4 linked regions of the Caenorhabditis elegans genome follow. The protein of the gene in region 1 purifies or fractionates together with the protein of each later gene. This does not show direct contact. Each region holds a gene or a part of one and is shown on either strand. Other genes may lie near its edges. The genes, in order: cbl-1, klo-1, nas-36 and C01G10.7.

Region 1 (5,444 bases):
AAAATGGTTGCATAAACAAACGGAAAAACAAAGAGTTATGTGGGGATACAAGGTAAATCTTATTAGAATTTTGGATAATCACACTTGAAACTTTTCAGATTCTATTTTTGGATGTTTTATTTCCTCTAAATGTGGATAAAATCATCTTCGTAGATGCCGATCAAGTTGTTCGAGCTGATTTACAAGAATTGATGGATTTCAATTTAAATGGGGCTCCTTATGGGTAAGAATTACAATATAAGAACCCAATTAACTGTTATTATTCATTCAGATATGTTCCATTTTGTGAGAGTCGAACAGAGATGGATGGATTCCGATTTTGGAAAAGTGGATATTGGAAGAATCATTTGATGGGGCGAAAATATCATATTAGTGCACTTTATGTTGTTGATCTTAAGGTATATAAGGATTAATTTTGTGGATTACGGGAAATTGGGTTTCGAAAAGTTTGTATATTTTTAAAGGAAGCTGTGAAAAACTGTGCGCCTTTGAAGAATTACAGTAGCTTCCAGACTTCGTTGTTTTACAATTTAAGTCGTGGAAAACGAAGTAGTAGAAAAATGGATCTTATACAAAAAAAAGTGAAATAATTGAAGAAAACGAAGTAGAATCAAGTAGAAACTACCGTACTCTTACAAGGCTTACAATCTTGTTCGTAACAAAATATTAATTTCATTTCCTATCTAACGTGCATGTTCTTTTATAATACAACATTTTTCAGGCGTTCCGCGAGTTCTCAGCTGGAGACCGCCTTCGTGGTCGGTACGACAGCCTATCTGCTGATCCGAACAGTCTTTCGAATTTGGATCAAGATCTTCCGAACAACATGCTTCACGAAGTTCCTATTAAATCATTACCTCAGGAATGGCTTTGGTGTGAGACATGGTGTGATGATGGAAGTAAAGAAAAGGCAAAAACAATTGACTTGGTGAGATTTAATACTTTTAAGCACTTTTTGTGTTAAACCAATATTTTTAAAAAATATTTTTAAAAAATGTATTTCAGTGCAACAATCCACTGACAAAAGAACCAAAACTGAACTCGGCAAAACGTATTATCAAAGAATGGACAGAATACGATTCAGAAATTTCGAAAGTTTTGAATTCTGCAGATATCAACACTCCATCACCATCAGTGGATCGAGATGAATTATGATTTTCCTGTATTTTTTCATTATTTGAATTTTTTGTTTCTTAAACTGTATCCGAATTATCACAATTGTGTTAAAAATTGTATTACTTGAATGAATATGAATAAATATTTTATGAGCTTATACAAGGAGGAAGGACGGCTAGAAAACCCATGGCTTTAAGCAATCCAGTAACAATGTTTCAACAATTCCAAAATTACCTCTGCTTTCGGGGGGATTTATTCAACTTCAAGATGTTCTTGTAAAGCTTTTCAAAATAAAATAATCTGCGTTCGGGGGGAATCGAACCCCCGTCGAATGCTTGGAAGGCATCCATGCTGACCATTACACCACGAACGCGGTGATGTAACGAAAATGGATATAAAAAGAATAAAATATCTTTATATGTACGATTTTATTGGGATTTATAGGGATGCATAGTCGGAAAATCAAGTTCCCGTCTTTTAAATACCTTTTCCATCCTTTCTTCACATAATCGCCGCGTTCGTGGTGTAATGGTCAGCATGGATGCCTTCCAAGCATTCGACGGGGGTTCGATTCCCCCCGAACGCAGATTGTTTTATTTTGAAAAGTTTTACAAGAAGAATGAAGTTGAATAAACTTTGCTGGCAAATTTTACCTCTACATTTCGTTGAAAATTTACCAAAACCAAACTAACAAAACACTGATAATTTTAAAGTCATCATGTGGAGACTAACTAATGATAAGAACTGATAATCTATCTGATCTTGCATCAGCGAGAGATTATTGGAGAACTGATAAATACATTTCATTTGTAATCACATTTCAGTTCTATTTGCTGTTGGACACAATGAGGTAAGTGTCCACACTGATATTCTCGTATAGTTGAAATTCTTTTAGTGACAGTTTCAACTGGCCAGCTGGAAATAACGAGGCAAGAGAACGTTTGGGAGAAAAGTGAGTTTACTGAATTTCAAGGAGTTCCCCGGTCATTTTCTAAAGTAAAAACTAGGTTTTTTAGGCATCGTAATTTTCAGTTTCGTTGCATTTTTTATTTTTCAATGTTTAATTGACTACTGTAGCGCATCCATCAGAGGTAGGCACGGTTTCAAGGCCTGTGACAGCCTGAAACCTACCGGCCTCCTCGTCTAAATAATGCATTCTGGCGTGAAATTAAAAAACCTGGAGATTGAACCACAAGTTGCGATAGGTATATGTGTTTCTCCTATGCAGAGTTTGCCAGCAAATGTGTTCTAGGGCAAGGGTGTTCTGGTAAAACTTTAAAAAATAAAACAATCTGCGTTCGGGGGGAATCGAACCCCCGTCGAATGCTTGGAAGGCATCCATGCTGACCATTACACCACGAACGCGGTGGTTTTATAAAGAAATGATGGAAAGGGTATTTAAAAGACGGGAACTTGATTTTCCGACTATGTATCCCTATAAATCCCGATAAAATCGTACATATATTTATGTTTTCTTCTTTTTTATATCTATTTTCATCAAATCACCGCGTTCGTGGTGTAATGGTCAGCATGGATGCCTTCCAAGCATTCGACGGGGGTTCGATTCCCCCCGAACGCAGATCAAACTTTTTTGAATGTATAAAAAAAGTTTTGTTAGTAACGGAATTGTTTTCACATATCCTTTTAATCAGATTTGAAAGTCTCCACTTGGACAGTCGAATTTCAACATCTCATGCAAAACCACTTTCAAATGCTGATCCAGTAGTTGTTCCAATTTATCATTCAAGTACTTATCGTTTCAAAACAGTTGATCAATTCAATGAAGACAATCACGGTGCCAACTTTGTATATCGTCGATGCGGAAATCCAACAACTGAAAATGTGGAAGTTGTGATTAATGAGATAGAAGGCGGTGCAGGATCCCTCCTATACAACTCGGGTCTTGCAGCGATTAGTGCAGTTTTTCTGGAATTTCTGAGTTCCGGTGCTCATATGATTGTTATGAACCCAATTTATAGTGGTACATCATCATTTATTAATGAGACATTGGCTCGTTTTGGAGTTGAAATAACTTCTGTTGACGTTGAAAAAGAAAAGGATTTTGCTGGAGCTGTTGAAAAAGCAATTCGGCCAAATACTAAGATGATTTACTTTGAATCAATTGCCAATCCAACGATGGCAGTTCCAGATATTTTGGGAACAATTGAAGTGGCAAAGAAATATAAGGTTAAAAAATATACGATTAAGAGAGCTAGATTAATTATTCAAGTAATCTATTAATTTTACTGTTTTTCAGATTCTTACATGTCTTGATGCAACTTTCTCATCTCCATACAACATTCAACCACTGAAACTTGGAGCAGACATCAGTCTTCATAGCTGGTAAGACTAGTTATTCCAAAATTTAATTCATAGGTGGATCGAGTCTCAAAAATAAAACGGAGATTGGCAGTTGAAAATTTGTCTAGGCCACATTAATTTTAAAGTAAAACTTTCCATTCTTTTAAAAGCGTCGAAGGAGAAGCATCAGTAAGGAAATGATTTGAATCATCTCCTATAGTGTTGAAATGTCCAAGTAAAAGACTTTAGTAAAAAGCTTCCAGTTTTTGAAATTTTGGCAAGTAACCAGAACTTTGACTGGAAACTTTGAACAATTTAAACATTTTGCAGTGTTAGGTGCTCATACTGAACTACAATAAATTTGATTTTACAAAACTCCCACTGATTTTTTCGTAAATAAAATTCGAAAAGAATTGCAGCTCAAAATACATTGGAGGACATACGGATGTGATTGCTGGAGTTGTTACAGTATCATCTTATGATAATTGGAAAAAACTTAAACTTCAACAATTGACGACTGGAAGTTCTTTGGTAAGCAGTTTCTGAGTAGAAAAAAAAACAAAAAACTTGAAACTTGCAGAGTCCATACGACGCTGCCCTGTTGACCAGAGGTCTCAAAACTCTTGGATTGCGAGTTGATAGGATTTCAGAAAATGCTCAGAAAACTGCAGAATTTCTAGAATCCCATCCAAAAGTTGAACGTGTCTTTTATCCAGGACTTCCATCCCACCCACAGCATCAATATGCTAAACAAGTAATGAAACAATTTGCTGGAATGATTGCATTTGATGTTGGAACTGCTGAAAATGCAATCAAGCTTGTTGAGGCTAGTTTATTAATCTAAATGAAAATTCTGAAGAATTATTATTCCAGAGTCTTAAACTAATCATTCATGCAGTATCTCTTGGTGGTACTGAATCTTTAATCGAACATCCTCTGTCAATGTCTCATGGTAAACATTTACTTCGATATTTGGATGGTCCGACTGTTGCCCCTGGACTTCTCCGATTTAGGTACGCTCTGAGTTCTTCTGAATCAAAACTTTTGTATTTAAATTCTATTTAAAGTACATAACAGAAACTTTCTATCGGCAATTTTGACAATATCCGATTTTCAATTCGAAAGTGCTCCCTTAAAATTGTTTTGGCCATTTTATTTTTTCCAGTTAAAAACATTTTTTAAAAATAACTTAAATAGGAGTAAATTATTAGAAACTACAATTTAATAATTTTTGCAGCGTTGGCATTGAAAATGTGGAGGATATTATTGGAGATTTGAATGATGCCCTCGAGAAGCTTTGAGCAATTTCTTCAACATTTCGAAATCATTTCTCTTTAAAAAATTAATAACTTCTTTTTTCAGTTTTTTTTCAGATTATTGTCAAAAGTCTATAGATATTCTATAAAAGTTCAGAAAAATCATCGCTTGTGCCGTCTCACTTTTGTAACAAATGAATTGCAATCAGTGATTTATTGTACTTCTCCTAAATAAAAAAGATGATATACAATAGAAAATGTAGAGAATTAGAGATTAATTGACATGATATCTATTGACAGGAAACAAGATGATTCTATCACTAGTGAAACGATTAAGAACTTGATAATATTGAATGTATCTCAAAAGGAAATTATATTGCTTAGAGATCATTGATTCTTTAGTAGAAGTGCACATTGAAAATGGCAATCACTATCAGGAAAACTGGAGATTGGAATTTAGAAAAAATCTTATACTTTTCTGCAAAAAAAAACCGCGCGATTAAGAACTCGGAGAAACAAAAAAAAACATTTTCGTTGCTTGCTAATTAGCAAAATTTTCCAAGTTTCAATTTTGTTTCAAGGACGTCGACAAATGTTTATCTTTTTTTGTAATTTTTGGTTTTGTCAACAAATTGAAAAAAAATCTGTTGCAAAACTTTCCAAAAATTAAAAAATAATGAAATATGGACTTTGAAAAAACAAAAGATATTTTTGTCGTTATCATATTCTCATACCTCTTATCTCTCTTTCTGTAATATTCTCTCAATAGAT
Region 2 (4,559 bases), on another chromosome or scaffold:
TTTATTAGTTTTATTCAAATGTATTATTTATCTCTTGTAAATGCATTTTCCTGTAAAATGCGTTTCTAACGTTTATTTTTAAGACTAAATTTATTTTCAAATAATCGGTATATTTTCAGATACGAAAGAGTCCGAAGCACAATACTCCGTCGTCACTCTCGTGGCTTCAAATCAACTGCAACAATTTCAATGTCTAATTTTGGAACTGAACCAACAAATTTAGGTGGAGCATCTAGTTTACTTATTGAACTAGATGGAAAACAGGTGGAAAGATCTACTTCTGATTGTTAAACTTTTTAAAATCATTGAATATGAATATTTTTATATCTAGAACGTTAGGAGTTCAAACATTTTCAGAATCTTAGGTATTCGAAAACATGAAAACATTATTACGGATTGAATTAAAAAATTATGTAGTGTATTAATCAACAATAGAGAAAGTTTTTTTTTAATCAACTGTTTCCTACAACTAAACGTTTTCCATGTTCCTTTTTTCAATTACGGTTTTCCATTTCCACGTGTTTTCTATTGTTTCAACCATCACAAATGCTTTAAATGTTTTTACTAGCATGCAATCTATTTATTATCAATACATTTGTATCCATTCTACAAAAGATTATGATGCTTTTTAAATTCGCGAATAAAAGTTTGATAATATTTAGCCGAATATTTCATGGTTCTTGTTTTGTCTGGAGAATCAAAATCGACGCGACAAATTCCAAATTTAACACCGAATCCGTCATCCCATTCGAAATTATCCATCAGAGTCCAGAGTGTGTAGCCAATGACATTACATCCTTCTTCCAGTGCTGAAATTCAAGTGATCGAAGTTTCCCAAAAATTAATTGAATATCATTGTTTTTTTATTTTTCGAAACTTTTTTCAAATTTAATTTACCTTTAGCTACCGCTTCCAAATGTCCGGAAATAAATTTTATGCGATGCTTATCATCAAGTATCTCCTCTTCTTTTCTTCCTTCACCTCCTACCAAATCCATACATCCATTTTCAGTGATGAATACAGGAATATTATTGTACTTGTCTCTAACATATTTCAAAAGCCCGAACAAACCGTCTGGTGCATAACGAACCCATGTCTCACCACAAATTCTGCAAATTTCTTGGTTATAGGAGAACTTGAAAAAACCAACTTTTCCCATTTTCCTTCATTAAACGCATAAGCTGCGTCTCTTTCTGATTGAGATGCTGGCTCCTCCCCATCATTTAAATTACGAACAATGTGGCTGAGATAATAGTTTATTCCCAGGAAATCAGTGCTTCCTGAAAAAATTATAATTGAAAAAAATTGAAAATTATAATTGGTAAAATATATCAGCAAAATGAATTTAGAGCTGCCAATATGGTGCAAGGCTAACTTAGAAAAAAAAAGTTAACTAATCTTTTTAAAATCAAAAATTTCCGATCGACAGCTAACCTTTGATGAGTTTCTTTTCTTCTTCAGAGAACTTTGGTAGAAACGGTAATTTTTCTCTCATTGAGGCTGGGAAGTCTCCGGAATCAGTCAAAATTGGTTCAATTGTATAATTGAAGAGCCAATCCAGCGCTCGATTACATGCCTGCAAATCATTAAAGTAAGGAAGTCAATAGTTTGACTAACATCAAGATCTGCAGGAGAATCTGAAGCAGGTAGACAGAATCTTCCACCATTTGTTATTCCGATCAAGCCATTTTGAGTTTCTTTGTAGTTTTTCTGGTAGTTTCGATAAATTTTTGCGTGAGTAAGAAGCATGTTGGTGGCTGCACTGAAAATAAAATATTCAATCAGCTTATTCCAAAACATTTGTTTTTTCCTTCGCTTTCAAAGGTTTTTTTCTTCAGAAACTGACATGTAAGGTGCTTGTTCATGATTCTCGATTTCTGGACGATCTGGGCATAACCAAAGTTCTCCTTCAATCTTTACAACTGATGACCAAGCCTGCATGTTTATTTCGTTGAAAGTTATCCATGTCTTCACAAGATCTCCAAACTTTTGGAAACATAAATCTGCGAATTTCTCGAAATGTTCACAATTCTCCTTGTTTAGCCATGATGTTCCATTGTCATAAATTGAAAGAGGCATGTCGAAATGGAACAGTGTCACCTAAATAACATGTTTTCGCTTTTTTATGTTTCAAAGAAATTATTACATACAATTGGCTCAATTCCATTGTCACGTAGTAGAAGACAAATATCACGATAGAATTGAATGCCATCTTCATTTATTGTTTTTAAAGTTCCATCTGGAAGAATTCTGGACCAAGAAATTGAAAATCGGTAGCTGGTGACACCGATTTTTGAGAGAAGAGCAACGTCTTCTTTGTATTTTAGACGACCTTCACAGGAAAGATCAGGGTCCGAGTTATCATGAATTCTACCATTTTCAGAACGAATTGAATCCCAAGTACTGAATCCGCGGCCTTAATGATTTCAGAAGTAAATTTCTAAAAGAATAATTTTTAATTCAAAATAAACTTACCATCTAGATTTTTTGCACCTTCAATTTGATACGCCGCGGTAGCCGTAGCCAATTGGAAATTTTTTGGAAATTTAGTTGGCAAAGACATAACCGAACAAGACATCGACGGAATGATAACTGATAAGAGGTATTTTGTGTGTCAACAGTTGTGTTCAATCGGGTTATGTAAATGAACATTGTTTGTGCCTGATAATAGAGGTATGGAAAATCATATTATTTATGTACATGAAATGGAATACCAGAAGGTTTGAACGAATACTGTAAGAGGTCAGAATATCAAAATTAGAGTTTGATAAAAAATAAATAAATTATTTCAAAGCTTTTTGAGTTGCTGAGAGCATTGAATGAGGCAAACTGGATCCTTTTGAATATCAGTGATTGAGTAATCACGAAGAAGACGAGAACAATCATCAATTGTGATTGAATGACATTCAGGACCTTCTAATGTACATGTACAGGTGATACATGGAGTTATTCGTTTAGTTTTTCCACGATTAACTACACGTTCATCAACAAGGCAATAGTCTCGTTCAACCCATTTGTTCAGGTCAATCTCAGAAAGTTCAGAGCATGTCATCGGAGAGTTTCTGAAAATTATATTTAAGTTTTTGAACTAATTATTAATAAGAAAACTGTTTTTTTAAATTTTTTAAAAATGTTTATTAAACTGAAAATGATCATTTATAGACCTGTTCAATAAATCTCCAACTTACGTAAGATCGTCTGGCATAAGGAACACATTGGGTTGAATATTTGCGGCATATTCACTATTATCGCAAATAATTCTTGACAAACTGGCTTTTCGAATTTCGACAAGTTGATCTGGAGTAAATCGAACCATTGAATCACTTGTCTCATAATAAAATCTGTCGCATTTTTTCAATCTTTGCATTTGTTCACCAATAAGACATGCTAATGTTGGGCCAACAAGTGAGCCTTAATAATTATTTTAAAAAAGCAACAAGTAGAAATTCCGGGTCACCTCTAGTTGGAGATTCACTCATGATTCCCGGGAACAGGTCAATGTCGTCAACATGAGCATAAGCTGTTTCTAAAGCTGTCACAGCTTCTGAGTTCATGACATCACGAAGATCAGAGAAAGCCGATGCTTTTCGAAGTCCACAGTGTTTTCTGAAATACTTCTTAAAATATAAATTTGAAATGTTTACATGCGAACAATATGCTCAGCCGATACCCATCGAGGTTAACCACTTAATCTCGTAATTATGTGTTAAATATTTCGCCTAAGAAACCCAAGTGAACAACTAGGGAAATTGCTAAATTGTGATGACAGAAACGGTTGACGCAAAACGTAAAGATATGCTTGGAGACATTTCGCGCCACAAATGTAGGCATTTTCATCTACTGCCGGTTTTATAAAATTTAAATTGAAATACAAACCTATATGCATTGTAACCTTGAACTCCGTGATCTCTGCCTCTTTGAATATTCACTGCTGGAAGATCCAGTCCAGTTAGTGGACCACCAGGTTTTGCGAACAAATGATTCCGAACAGCCGTGACAATATGACGATCAAAAGCCATACTGTTTGCTCCAATTAATCCCATTAAGATTGACTCCATATGACCGGAGTTCTTATCGTAAACTGGAGATGGATTCGAAAAAGTTTCAGTTAAATTTACATGATTTGTCATGTTTTGGAAATTGTCATTCATTCGTGTGAATACACCACGGATCAAAGAATGTCCAAATCGAAATGCAGATGTTGACATTTCTTGGGATATTGTGGCATCACATTGATCATCGTAACCCTCAAAATATCCAGCTGTTTGTGGCATTAGACCCCATTTTTCCATATTCTGGCAACCAAGAACCACTGGCAACCATTCTTTGTAAATAATGTGTTGAAGTTGTGCAATGTTGATTCGACGGGATTCCTATAAACTAGGTGGGTTTATATAGGAATTTCAATACAACATTCAAGAATTGCAACTAACCTGGAAGAGCTTCTCGTCACTCCAGAAATTATTTATTTGCTTCAAATATCTTGCAATTCTGTTATGTTCTCTCAAGAATATATTGTGAATTGCAGTGAGACCCGGCTGCTCATTACTTCTTTCATC
Region 3 (6,648 bases), 1.8 Mb from region 1:
ATATTGCGGTTACTGTAGTTTCATATTTGAATAGGTAGTTAAAGTTGAGTGTTGAGGTAATAATTTTAATTCATTATTTCATTTAATTTGTTTTCTTTTGAAATAATATTCTTATTTGCAGGAAATCTATTGCCACATGACATGTGCCACAGACACAACTAACATTCAATTTGTGTTTGACGCTGTCACCGATGTGATTATTGCCAATAATCTTCGTGGATGCGGCTTGTATTAAGCTGTCGTCTTCGCCGCCCTCTTCTACCATTCTGTGTGTATCTTTGCTTACTTTTCCCAAATTTTTAAAGATTCGTTATTTTTCTCATCCCCCGAGTATGCATCTATAATTTGAGAGCTTTACATGTACATTATGGTTGCAACTGTTTTTATTTTTTGGAAAAAGTTGCAATTTCAGATGTATATGGGCTTTTTTTTAACCTCTGATTCATTCATAATAGTCTCACCGCCCTTCTTTTTCTCAACTAGGATCCCTAATTTTTCTGTCACAAAAATAACACATAAAACTCACAATTATTTATTTTTTCCTTTTTTCTTATTTATTATATATTGTCATTATTCACGCCACATCCCCCGCCCTTCTCACTCCCGTGTAGCCTTATCGCTATTTGAAAACAAGAAAACTTTAAAAATCTAAATTCAGTTGGAATTCGTCCCGTTCCGCCACACACCCCCTAAAGGTCTCTTCACCCCGAATTATAAAGCTTTGCCCCTTTTTTCTTTCTTTTCTCCCATTTTTCAACACACCTAGTCACTGTTAACAGTTAAATAATGGCAGCTTTTGTCTATGTTTAAAGATTTTATTTTTAATTTTTGGTATTTTTCTATTTCTACTCTTCCCCTCTCATCCATTTTCCCTCCTTTTCCTAAAACCACACTTCCAAACTCATTTTTCTCGCTGTTTTCCTCTCCCTATTTTTTCTTTTACTTTTTCATTTTTCCATCTTTTTTCTTTAAAATCGTCTCGCTTTTTGTCGGTGAGCACGATGGTGTGCAGTAGACGATATTTTCCGCATTGGTTTATTGTCGACTGCACCCACTCATTGATATCTTATTTGATATAAACGACATCCTCAACTAGTTTTCGTACAAATTCAGTTTGGTGGATACAAAAGTACAGTGATTTAGTTTGCATGGGAAATTGCATATGGGACTACCGTACATATGTCTAGATAAAAAACCAATATTTTTAAAACTCGATAAAATTTAAATTTCCCTGAACTCCTTTTTGAATAACCACCAAGAAGTTTAAACCTCGCGCGCGAATTTAAAATTTAATTGTTATTTTGAATTATTAGCATGGTTTAAAACAATTTCCCCATCATTACCAAGATTTAAAAAAATCAAAACCTATTGTTATAACATCAAAAGTGGGAAACCCCAAAAATAGTCTTCAGATAATGATTTTCTCAAGATAAATGACCCGGAAGTGAGTGTTACTAAAGCGAAAAACCTTCCAAATGTCAAGTTTCATTAAATTTTACAACAATCATCTAAAAATGTGTCCTTTTTGTCACACAATTGTGTTCATTTTCCATCAGCTTTTCCCTCCTCCTCCCACTATGTGATAAACTTTCACTTTTTCTGTTCATTTGCCAAAAAAAAGAGAATATCTCATACACTTTCCTATCTTCTCTTTTAATTGAACTATTATTCTATTTCATGAGAAATATGAGATTATGTCATTCAATTATTTTATTTAATTCTTTAATTTCTATTTCTATTTGCTCGAAAGCTGATGATCCTGCACTTTTGGTTGCTAGTGAATTTAAGGTTTGCCAAGATTTTTCAGAAACATTTCCAAAATTTCAGTTAAAAATTTGGCAATCGGAGGAATTTTCATTAAATTCATCTCAATTTCGCATGTTTGAATGCATCTATTACGGGAACATATTTGACGCTCAAAATATCTCGTAGCGAAAACTACAGTAACTCATTAAATACTACTGTAGCGCTTGTGTCGATTTACGGGCTCGATTTCTGAGAAGATACAAACTCGTTGATTTTTCGGTATAAAATTAAAATCAAGAAAAACATTAGAAAATGAAGAAACAAAGAAAAATGAAGTGCCGGTGTCACTATTCGGAAAGAAATTCATTTTAAAGCTCTTGTCCGTAAATCGACACATGTGCTACAGTAGTCATTTAAAGAATTACTGTAATTTTCGCTGCGAGATATTTTGCGCAATATGCATTCTCGGAATTTTGTGTGCCTGTATTTTTAAAAATAGAGATTATAATAATGAATAAAATTAATTTAGGAGCATTTCAATGTGGAAGAAAAACAATTGGAAACTGTTGAAGAATTGCTTATTAAAATGAAAAAATTGGCGCATTCAAGAAGTTTTAAGGGAAGAGAATTTGGTCATGATGTATGATTTGTCATTTATATTTTTCTGTAATTTTTTTTGTTTAGGCAGTTGAAGACTCAAAGAAAGAAGTGGCAATTAGTACTCAACAAGGAACAATTAATAAAAAAGTTTCACCGTTTTTGTTTGAAGGTATTTATTAAGTTTTTGTGAGTATCAAATAATGCTTTCAGGTGATATTTTTCTATCTCGACGTCAAGCAGTTGATATTCTGAAAGCTTTATCAAAAGATAAAACCAAACGATTGAGAAGGTAATTTTTTAAATTATACATTTTAAAGATTGTTCTAATTACTTTACATTTAAGATCATTTGTTTCGGATAAAACTGCCACGTGGAAAACCATGCCAATCAAGTATCGTTTTCATGAAAGTATAGGTAAATAGGATATTTACTTTGCCTTCAAAAAATATAATTAAATTCAGATTTCTATACAATTAGTCAAATCATCGCAGCGATTCGTTTCTGGGAAGATTCCACGTGTATCACTTTTGAAAATGTTTCTGATTCACCAGATGGTGATTATATCGAGTTTTTCAGTGGACAAGGGTAAAGAACTTATTTCAACTTTTTTAAAGTTAAAGTAAAACATTTAGAGAAAAAAATGGTTTACGATTAATATATTATATTCCCATTATAATTAGTTGTATCTATACATTGTTGCAACGATGCTTAAAGTTTCTCAAAAATTATCTATTTATCAAAAAAAATTCTCAAAACTAAAAAAAAAAAGATAATTTTTACAATTTTTCTATGATGGTCATGCGGTACAATTTCAACTATACTCAAACAAATTTCCGTTAGCTTTTAATTTGAATAAATCCAATTTAGGCTTATTTAAAACAGTACAAAATTAATATTTTTAGATGCTACTCTATGATCGGACGAAACGGTGGTCGTCAAGGTATTTCAATTGGTGAAAGTTGTGTTAAAGCAAGTTTTTTTGTCGTTTGATTGAACTCCTAACACCTCTTTTTTTGACAGATGGGCGTCATTGAACATGAAATTGGACACGCACTCGGGCTTTGGCATGAACAGAGTAGACCTGATGCATTGGGTTATGTTACTGTATGTACCTTTAAATTGATTTTTGATTGAGTCAATTGTTCCTTGATTTCAGATCGAACGAGATTTTATTCTTCCTTCGTATATAAGTGATTTCCTTCAACGTGACGATGAAATTGATACATTGGGAATACCGTATGATTTGGGATCAGTAATGCATTATGGAAGTACTGCATTTAGTGTTGATCAGAAAAGTAAAACAGTTGTTACAAGAGATTCACTTTATCAACAGACTATTGGACAACGAGAAAAACTTTCGTTTTATGACGTGGCAACTATAAATACTGCCTATTGTAAAGGTATGACAATTAAAAAGTTTTTTTTAATCAGGAAATTTATGTGGAATTGGAACTATTCTTGAAAATATTAATATTCCCACTATTAGTATTTAAAGATGGAGTTAGGAAAATATATAGATTATATATTCAAATACTCGGAGTATTTCGATATGCTGAAGTACAAGAACAAACGATTGAAAAATTTAGGTTAATCTCATTTTTTGAATAACCTCTAATATGAGAACTGCAAGGCCAATCAGCTATTTGCTCCGCCCATCTTTAAACCAGAAATATATTACTGGATTCTCCTAAAAAAATAAAATAATTTCAATTGTGAATTGTTTCAGATGAATGCAAGTCTGAAAAAACCAAATGTGAAAATGGAGGATATATGAGACCATCAAAATGCTCCGAATGTCTTTGTCCAGATGGTCTTGGTGGAGAAAAGTGTGAGAAGAATGAAGACTCGAAAAGTATGTTTTTTGAGAATTTTTGAAGTTTGACAAGAAGCTGAGATCTCAATTTTTCAAATCTCTATCTTATTCTTACTATAATTAGAGATTATATGAATAGGCATATTTTAGACGCTGAATGTGGTGGAATTATTAAATTAACTGAAGAATGGAAAGAGATTGAATCTCCAAATTATCCGGATCCAGGATATGAAGCTGATCAAAAATGTTCTTGGTTGTTGAAAGCGGAAAAAGGAAAACGAGTGGAAATTGAATTTATTGAAGATTTCTCATTTCTCTGTACATCTACATGCGTTGATTTTGTAGAGCTGAAGATTTCTGATGACTTGAGAAATACTGGATTCAGGTTTCTTTTTTCTTCAAATTGATGTTTGAAAATGGGTGTGTTAACTAAAATTTCAGATTCTGCTGCTATGATAAACCAGAAATCAGTTTTGTTTCTCAGACTGACACTGCTATTATTATTTTCCGATCACAACTTTCTACGGATATTGGATTTAAAATTCAAGCAAAATCTAGTGAGTTTTCCGATTAAAAATATTTGGACAGATGAGGTTTCGTAAATTTAAAACAACTCTGAAAATTTTTTTAATTATCAAAACCAAATGTTTCGTTATATTCAGAGCATTGCGACTTTTGAGAAAAATATATTATTTGAAGTATTTAGATGAATTGATTATTAAAACTTTTAAAAATAGCCAAAAAACCAAAATGCAAATACTTTTTCCTAAACTGTCTTTAAAAAATAATTCAGCCGATGCCGAACCAAGGACAACAATTGCTCCAACAATTATCACAACAACTTGTATGTTTCTTTTTCATTTTTCTTGTTATAACATTTTCAAATTTCCAGTGGCACCAATAACTGTTGATGCACCAAATGTATGGGCAGATTGGGGTGAATGGTCAATGTGTTCAAGAACATGTGGAGGTTGTGGAATTAGAAGTCGGGTCAGATCATGTAGAAGCAAAAAGTGCGAGTAAGTGATTTTTAATTAACACCCTTGAGAGCGTTGATCCTGATTGATTTCAAATGAAAATATATTCAAACCTTGTAAGGATATTTATCTTTCAGGGGACGACGACAAGAATTTGGAACCTGTAATTTGAAAGCGTGCCCTGTTGATAAACATTGCGCAAAGCTACTATCAAATAATAGGCTTTGCAATGGAAAAGTGTGTACCAAGTGAGTTGATATGGAATTTAAAAACTACTTTAAAATTTACATAGTGTTTAAAAAAACTCTCAAAAAAAAATTAATTTAAAAACCTTGAGCAACTCTGATTTAAAAAAAAGTTTTTGAGCTTTGAAGATGCTGGAATTACTCAAAAAATTACATAGTTTTTGGAACTTGTGTATTCGGAACATTGTATCGACAATTTCGTCTGAACATTTTCCAACAGATTTTCGTTACTTTGAATTCTGTTGTTTTTATTTTCAAAACTGCAGAAACGACATTGCAATATCGTCATGTGATGCTCCACAATGTTGTCCTCCGTTTATTAATGTTGATGGAGTATGCCAATCTGATCAAGAAAATCAACATGATGAATTATGGCTTTCTATTTAATCATCCATACTTTTCGAATCTTAAATATTTCATGAATTGTTTTTCTTCAAATTTCGACGTCTTGGCTAAACTTGCAACAATTTTCTATGTCTATTTGTATTTTCATTAATGTATTTTTCTAATTGTCATACAAGATATTCTAAATTATTTCCTTCTAGGTCTTTCAAATTCACATTTCTTGTTTCTACTTAAACGGGTTGTTTTCATTTTATTTCTTAAATTTATTTCTTGTGAATTATTCAGAAAAACAATAATTTTCTGCTAATCTTGTTATAGGATTTTCTGTAATTTTATATCAATAAACAGTTATCGTATGTTCTCTATAAATCTTTGTTCACTCAACTCGATAAAAAATATATTTTTTTCTTCAAAAATTGTTTCATATTTTGTCCATTAGTGAATTTATCCAAAGGTAATTCTAAATAAAAATAAATAAATAAAAAATAATAAAAAAAATTTAAAAAAAAAGGTAAAATTAGGTAATGAAAAAGGTCACTAAGTTCTTACCTATCATAACTTGAAACGGTGAATCAAATAGTAATCTTGAACTGCTGAAATAATGTATTCCGGAAAATAGAAAAGTATTTGTAAATGCAAAGAAAGATTAAAATCTGGTAAAAACAACTAGTTCTTCATTGTCTTTTCTTACAGTTTTTAGTTATTCGGAAGCTTTCTTTCACTCATCTCAACACTCCATTTTATTCTAATTCGAAGCGTTTTTTTGCATTTTTCTCATTGGAGATCCATGGAAAGAGAAGAATGAGAAATTAAGAAGGCTTAAGCTTTATCTCTAAATCCATCTTTTAGCCTTCATATTACGAAACGGTATCTGTCTATGTCTCTTTTCTTTTTTTCTATTTCTCACCTTTCAGATTAAAAT
Region 4 (3,291 bases), on another chromosome or scaffold:
TGAGAAAGCGGTTTAGAAGATCGGAGAACATCAAAAACAGGAGATTTGCAATTTTTCATTTTTTCACATTCGCTGGCTGAATCCGAAAGTACGACCAATGCTTGAAAGGTAGTAACGATCGAGTCCTTGTTGAGTTTCTTCAGCGAGATGAGTTGGAACATCTTTAGCGATGATTTTGATATCCGTTCCAGATCCCTAGAATTTATTATAATAGAAGGTTTATCCTCGTTTGTTCTAAAACTTACAGTATCTTTCAACTGGAAATGGATGGTTGCATGATGATTGTTTGGATACTTTTTCAGTCGCCATTTCTTCACAATCTCCTTGTTCGGCTCAATCTTCTCGAATGTTCCAGTCACGTTTTCCCCGAACAATGCAAATGATCCTCCTTCCTTGAAATTCCACTCTCCGATCGAATTGTTTGTCCATCCACGAACGAATTGAGTCTCTGTGAGCGCCTCGAAAACTCTATCCGGTGTGGCCTTGTAGGTATCGGAAGTTGAAACCTCTTTGGTGGAGAACACTTCATTTCCAGAAGTGGAAGCGTCCTTTTCCGCGACAACAGTGTTTTGGAACTGACGTTTGTCAACGACTGAAGTCTTTCCAGTAGTAACGACTTGTGGCTTCACTTTATCAGTTGGCAGAATGAGACCCTTGCTGAATTCTTCCTTCAATTCACGGATATAGATTCCCATAACATCTTGAATCTTTGCAATGAACGATTTGTTAAGAACTTGGCGGATTTGATGAGCCATTGGGCCATTTCCACTCAATGACGAATTCACATCCACTTCGGATGCATCGTTCTCATCACTCAAGTTTGGGATATCGAAAGTTCCTTTATATTCGTCTTCACTGCCAGAAACACGAGCAATGAATGTTCCTTCGATAACCCATTCAAAAAGGAAGATGAGCTTAGCCTTCCGGTTGTTTGCCGTTGCTTCTCCGTCGATCTTTTTGATCTCATCGATTGTCACGACAATTGGGCCATCCTGAAAACGAATACTCTTAATACGATCTTGTTCAACTATTAATTATACCTCGGACGAAAATCCGGTGAGAAGTTCACGGAGTCGGTTCAAAGACCACGGGGTTGCATTCTTCTCCGACCTAAAACATACTTATTCAGCTCAAAGCTATGACTTCAATCGAGACCCACCAATGCCAATTGTTTACGTTTGTTGCATCGGCTCGTTCTTCAACAATCCAGCGTGGATCTCCTTCTCCCCACTTGGCCATTTAAATTCCCTGAAATTAATTTAAGTCAGTTTATCGAGATTTTTAAGGTGAACATCAAGCCAGATTAAGTCGTTTTGTACTTAAAACAATGGAATTTCAATTTAAAACTTGAAAATAAATATTTAACGTTGAAATCAAAACAAGAAATCTTTGAAATTTCGTTGAAAACAGGAGAAACTCAATTAATTTCGAGAAAATTCATGAAAAATGGAAGAAACTAGGCCAGCAGGCCACGACCGCTTATCAATAGGGCGAGCTTGCATTGCAATTTTTGTGTGGATTTACGCACGTAATTGGTTATTTATTTTTGTTTTTTTTTTTCAGATTTTACGTTACACATTTTTTTAAAATAAATTAATTTTTTCAATTTCAGAAAAATGCTTCCTAAAACGATAATTAGGCACATCTCACAGTTTGCCGGAGTTCGGGACGCAGCAAAGTATGTTCCAAGACGTGCACTTCTATACGTTCCAGCCAGCAATCAAAAAATGCTGGATAAAGTTCCAATGATGCAAGCGGATTCAGTAGTTTTGGAGCTAGAAGATGGCGTTGCTCTGACGGCTAAAGCTGATGCTAGAGTTCGAGTACGTGAAAAGTAATTGGAAATTTGTCTACAATTTGAGTTTTCAGGCTGCGGCGGCTCTTGATAAACTGCCATATCACACATTGGCATGCCAGGAGCTTGGTCTACGTGTCAATTCTGTAAGCAGTGGTCTTCTCGAAGATGATATCATTGTAAGATTTATTTTTGAATTTTTCAAACTTTATCCTCACGAATTTTTTAATTTCAGGCAGTATCGAAAGCTGAAAAGTTGCCACAAGCATTTATGATTCCGAAAGTAGACTGCCCTGAAGACCTTGTCACCATCTACAACATCTTCCGTGAACACTACGGAGATGAACGGATCACAAACACGAACACTCGGCTTGTTATCTGGATCGAATCTGCACGAGCTCTTCTGGATATGCCACGAATAGTCTCATCAACTCTAAATCTTCATAAACAAGCCGGATTCTTCAAGCTAGATGCAGTTGTCTTTGGATCAGACGATTTCTGTGCAGATATCGGAGCTACACGAAGCTCTCACGGCACTGAAACCCTATTCGCTCGACAGAAATTTGTGACTTGCTGTAAAGCATTCCAACTTCAAGCAATCGACAGTGTCTACATAGATATCAAGGATCTTGACGGTCTCCGTCGTCAGTCTGCAGAAGGGTGGCAGTGGGGTTTCACTGGAAAACAAGTCATTCATCCAAGTCAAGTGTCTGTGGTCCAGGAGCAATTTCTGCCTCCGAAGGATCGAATCGAATGGGCTCAGGAGCTGGTCCACGCTTACAGTGAGCACGAGGCATTAGGAAAAGGAGCTTTCCAGTTTAGAGGACAAATGATCGATCGACCACTTCTGCTGCAGGCATTGAATATTATTCAGCTCGTGGAGAGAGTTCAGAATTAAATTCTAAATTCTAAATGTTGTAAAACTTTTTATGTACATTTTTAAATATAGCTCTAGTTGCCAGTGTAATATAATAAAAACGAGTAATTTTAAAATTTCTTTATTTGTTCAAATTCAGACAAATCACTTCTTTCCATAAGTCAAGTAATAAGTAGTGTATCCATTGCTGTTGCTCGGGTAGTAGTAAGTGTATCCATTATTGTTACTGCAGCCGGAGCAACCATTATTGTATCCATTGTTATCGTAATAGTAATAAGTTTGACCATTATTGTTATTATTATTATTATTCGGGTAGTAGTAATAAGTCGTGTATCCGTTATTGTTATTGTTGTTGTAACCGTTGTTCGGGTAGTAATAGTAGAGCTGAAACAAAAAAATGGGAATCAGATAATCAATAGGAACTTACATAATAAGCGTTGGCAGTGGAGAAAAGCACGAGAAGAGTGGCGATCAGTGTAAGGAATCTCATTTTCTAGGAGAGATCAAAGCGAAGTTTATGTTTTCCCCTCTTTACTCGAATCTTTTATACACTTTTACCCTACTCAACATCAAGCTCCACCTCCGTGGCTCCCTTTTGATCTCTCTCTCTTTCAAGAGA

The links.
Region 2: the proteins of cbl-1 (region 1) and klo-1 fractionate together in Caenorhabditis elegans (co-fractionation; one large-scale study listed by BioGRID). This does not show direct contact.
Region 3: the proteins of cbl-1 (region 1) and nas-36 fractionate together in Caenorhabditis elegans (co-fractionation; one large-scale study listed by BioGRID). This does not show direct contact.
Region 4: the proteins of cbl-1 (region 1) and C01G10.7 fractionate together in Caenorhabditis elegans (co-fractionation; one large-scale study listed by BioGRID). This does not show direct contact.

The regions. Positions count from the first base shown.
Region 1 is NC_003279.8:9,326,007-9,331,450, forward strand, and holds cbl-1 (plant cystathionine gamma-synthase), read left to right. Parts: upstream 1-1,850; coding exon 1,851-1,966; intron 1,967-2,011; coding exon 2,012-2,068; intron 2,069-2,400; exon of another isoform or gene 2,401-2,484; intron 2,485-2,620; exon of another isoform or gene 2,621-2,699; intron 2,700-2,768; coding exon 2,769-3,303; intron 3,304-3,373; coding exon 3,374-3,459; intron 3,460-3,836; coding exon 3,837-3,948; intron 3,949-3,997; coding exon 3,998-4,243; intron 4,244-4,290; coding exon 4,291-4,430; intron 4,431-4,654; coding exon 4,655-4,718; 3' UTR 4,719-4,922; downstream 4,923-5,444. Other genes in the region: uggt-2 (UDP-glucose:Glycoprotein Glucosyltransferase), read left to right, coding at 1-52, 99-223, 272-398, 722-928, 1,006-1,155.
Region 2 is NC_003282.8:7,745,426-7,749,984, forward strand, and holds klo-1 (Glycoside hydrolase family 1 protein), read right to left. Parts: upstream 2,577-4,559; 5' UTR 2,564-2,576; coding exon 2,476-2,563; intron 2,417-2,475; coding exon 2,151-2,416; intron 2,101-2,150; coding exon 1,847-2,100; intron 1,763-1,846; coding exon 1,618-1,762; intron 1,577-1,617; coding exon 1,435-1,576; intron 1,281-1,434; coding exon 1,151-1,280; intron 1,110-1,150; coding exon 898-1,109; intron 810-897; coding exon 607-809; 3' UTR 554-606; downstream 1-553. Other genes in the region: npr-35 (G-protein coupled receptors family 1 profile domain-containing protein), read left to right, coding at 120-291; C46A5.4 (Peroxidase), read right to left, coding at 2,789-3,062, 3,189-3,411, 3,458-3,606, 3,877-4,373, 4,434-4,559.
Region 3 is NC_003279.8:7,525,621-7,532,268, forward strand, and holds nas-36 (Zinc metalloproteinase nas-36), read left to right. Parts: upstream 1-1,603; 5' UTR 1,604-1,686; coding exon 1,687-1,788; intron 1,789-2,275; coding exon 2,276-2,386; intron 2,387-2,430; coding exon 2,431-2,515; intron 2,516-2,556; coding exon 2,557-2,635; intron 2,636-2,689; coding exon 2,690-2,760; intron 2,761-2,807; coding exon 2,808-2,931; intron 2,932-3,248; coding exon 3,249-3,315; intron 3,316-3,366; coding exon 3,367-3,450; intron 3,451-3,502; coding exon 3,503-3,746; intron 3,747-4,072; coding exon 4,073-4,198; intron 4,199-4,309; coding exon 4,310-4,544; intron 4,545-4,600; coding exon 4,601-4,716; intron 4,717-4,952; coding exon 4,953-5,003; intron 5,004-5,051; coding exon 5,052-5,178; intron 5,179-5,273; coding exon 5,274-5,384; intron 5,385-5,647; coding exon 5,648-5,768; 3' UTR 5,769-6,095; downstream 6,096-6,648. Other genes in the region: goa-1 (Guanine nucleotide-binding protein G(o) subunit alpha), read left to right, coding at 122-235. UniProt on the Caenorhabditis elegans protein: Metalloprotease. Involved in molting, a process during larval stages in which a new cuticle is formed and the old cuticle is shed.
Region 4 is NC_003283.11:15,084,135-15,087,425, forward strand, and holds C01G10.7 (Citramalyl-CoA lyase, mitochondrial), read left to right. Parts: upstream 1-1,612; 5' UTR 1,613-1,616; coding exon 1,617-1,823; intron 1,824-1,869; coding exon 1,870-1,974; intron 1,975-2,030; coding exon 2,031-2,693; 3' UTR 2,694-2,784; downstream 2,785-3,291. Other genes in the region: ahsa-1 (Activator of Hsp90 ATPase AHSA1-like N-terminal domain-containing protein), read right to left, coding at 64-195, 246-992, 1,041-1,110, 1,160-1,239; C01G10.15 (FIP (Fungus-Induced Protein) Related), read right to left, coding at 2,817-3,056, 3,100-3,162.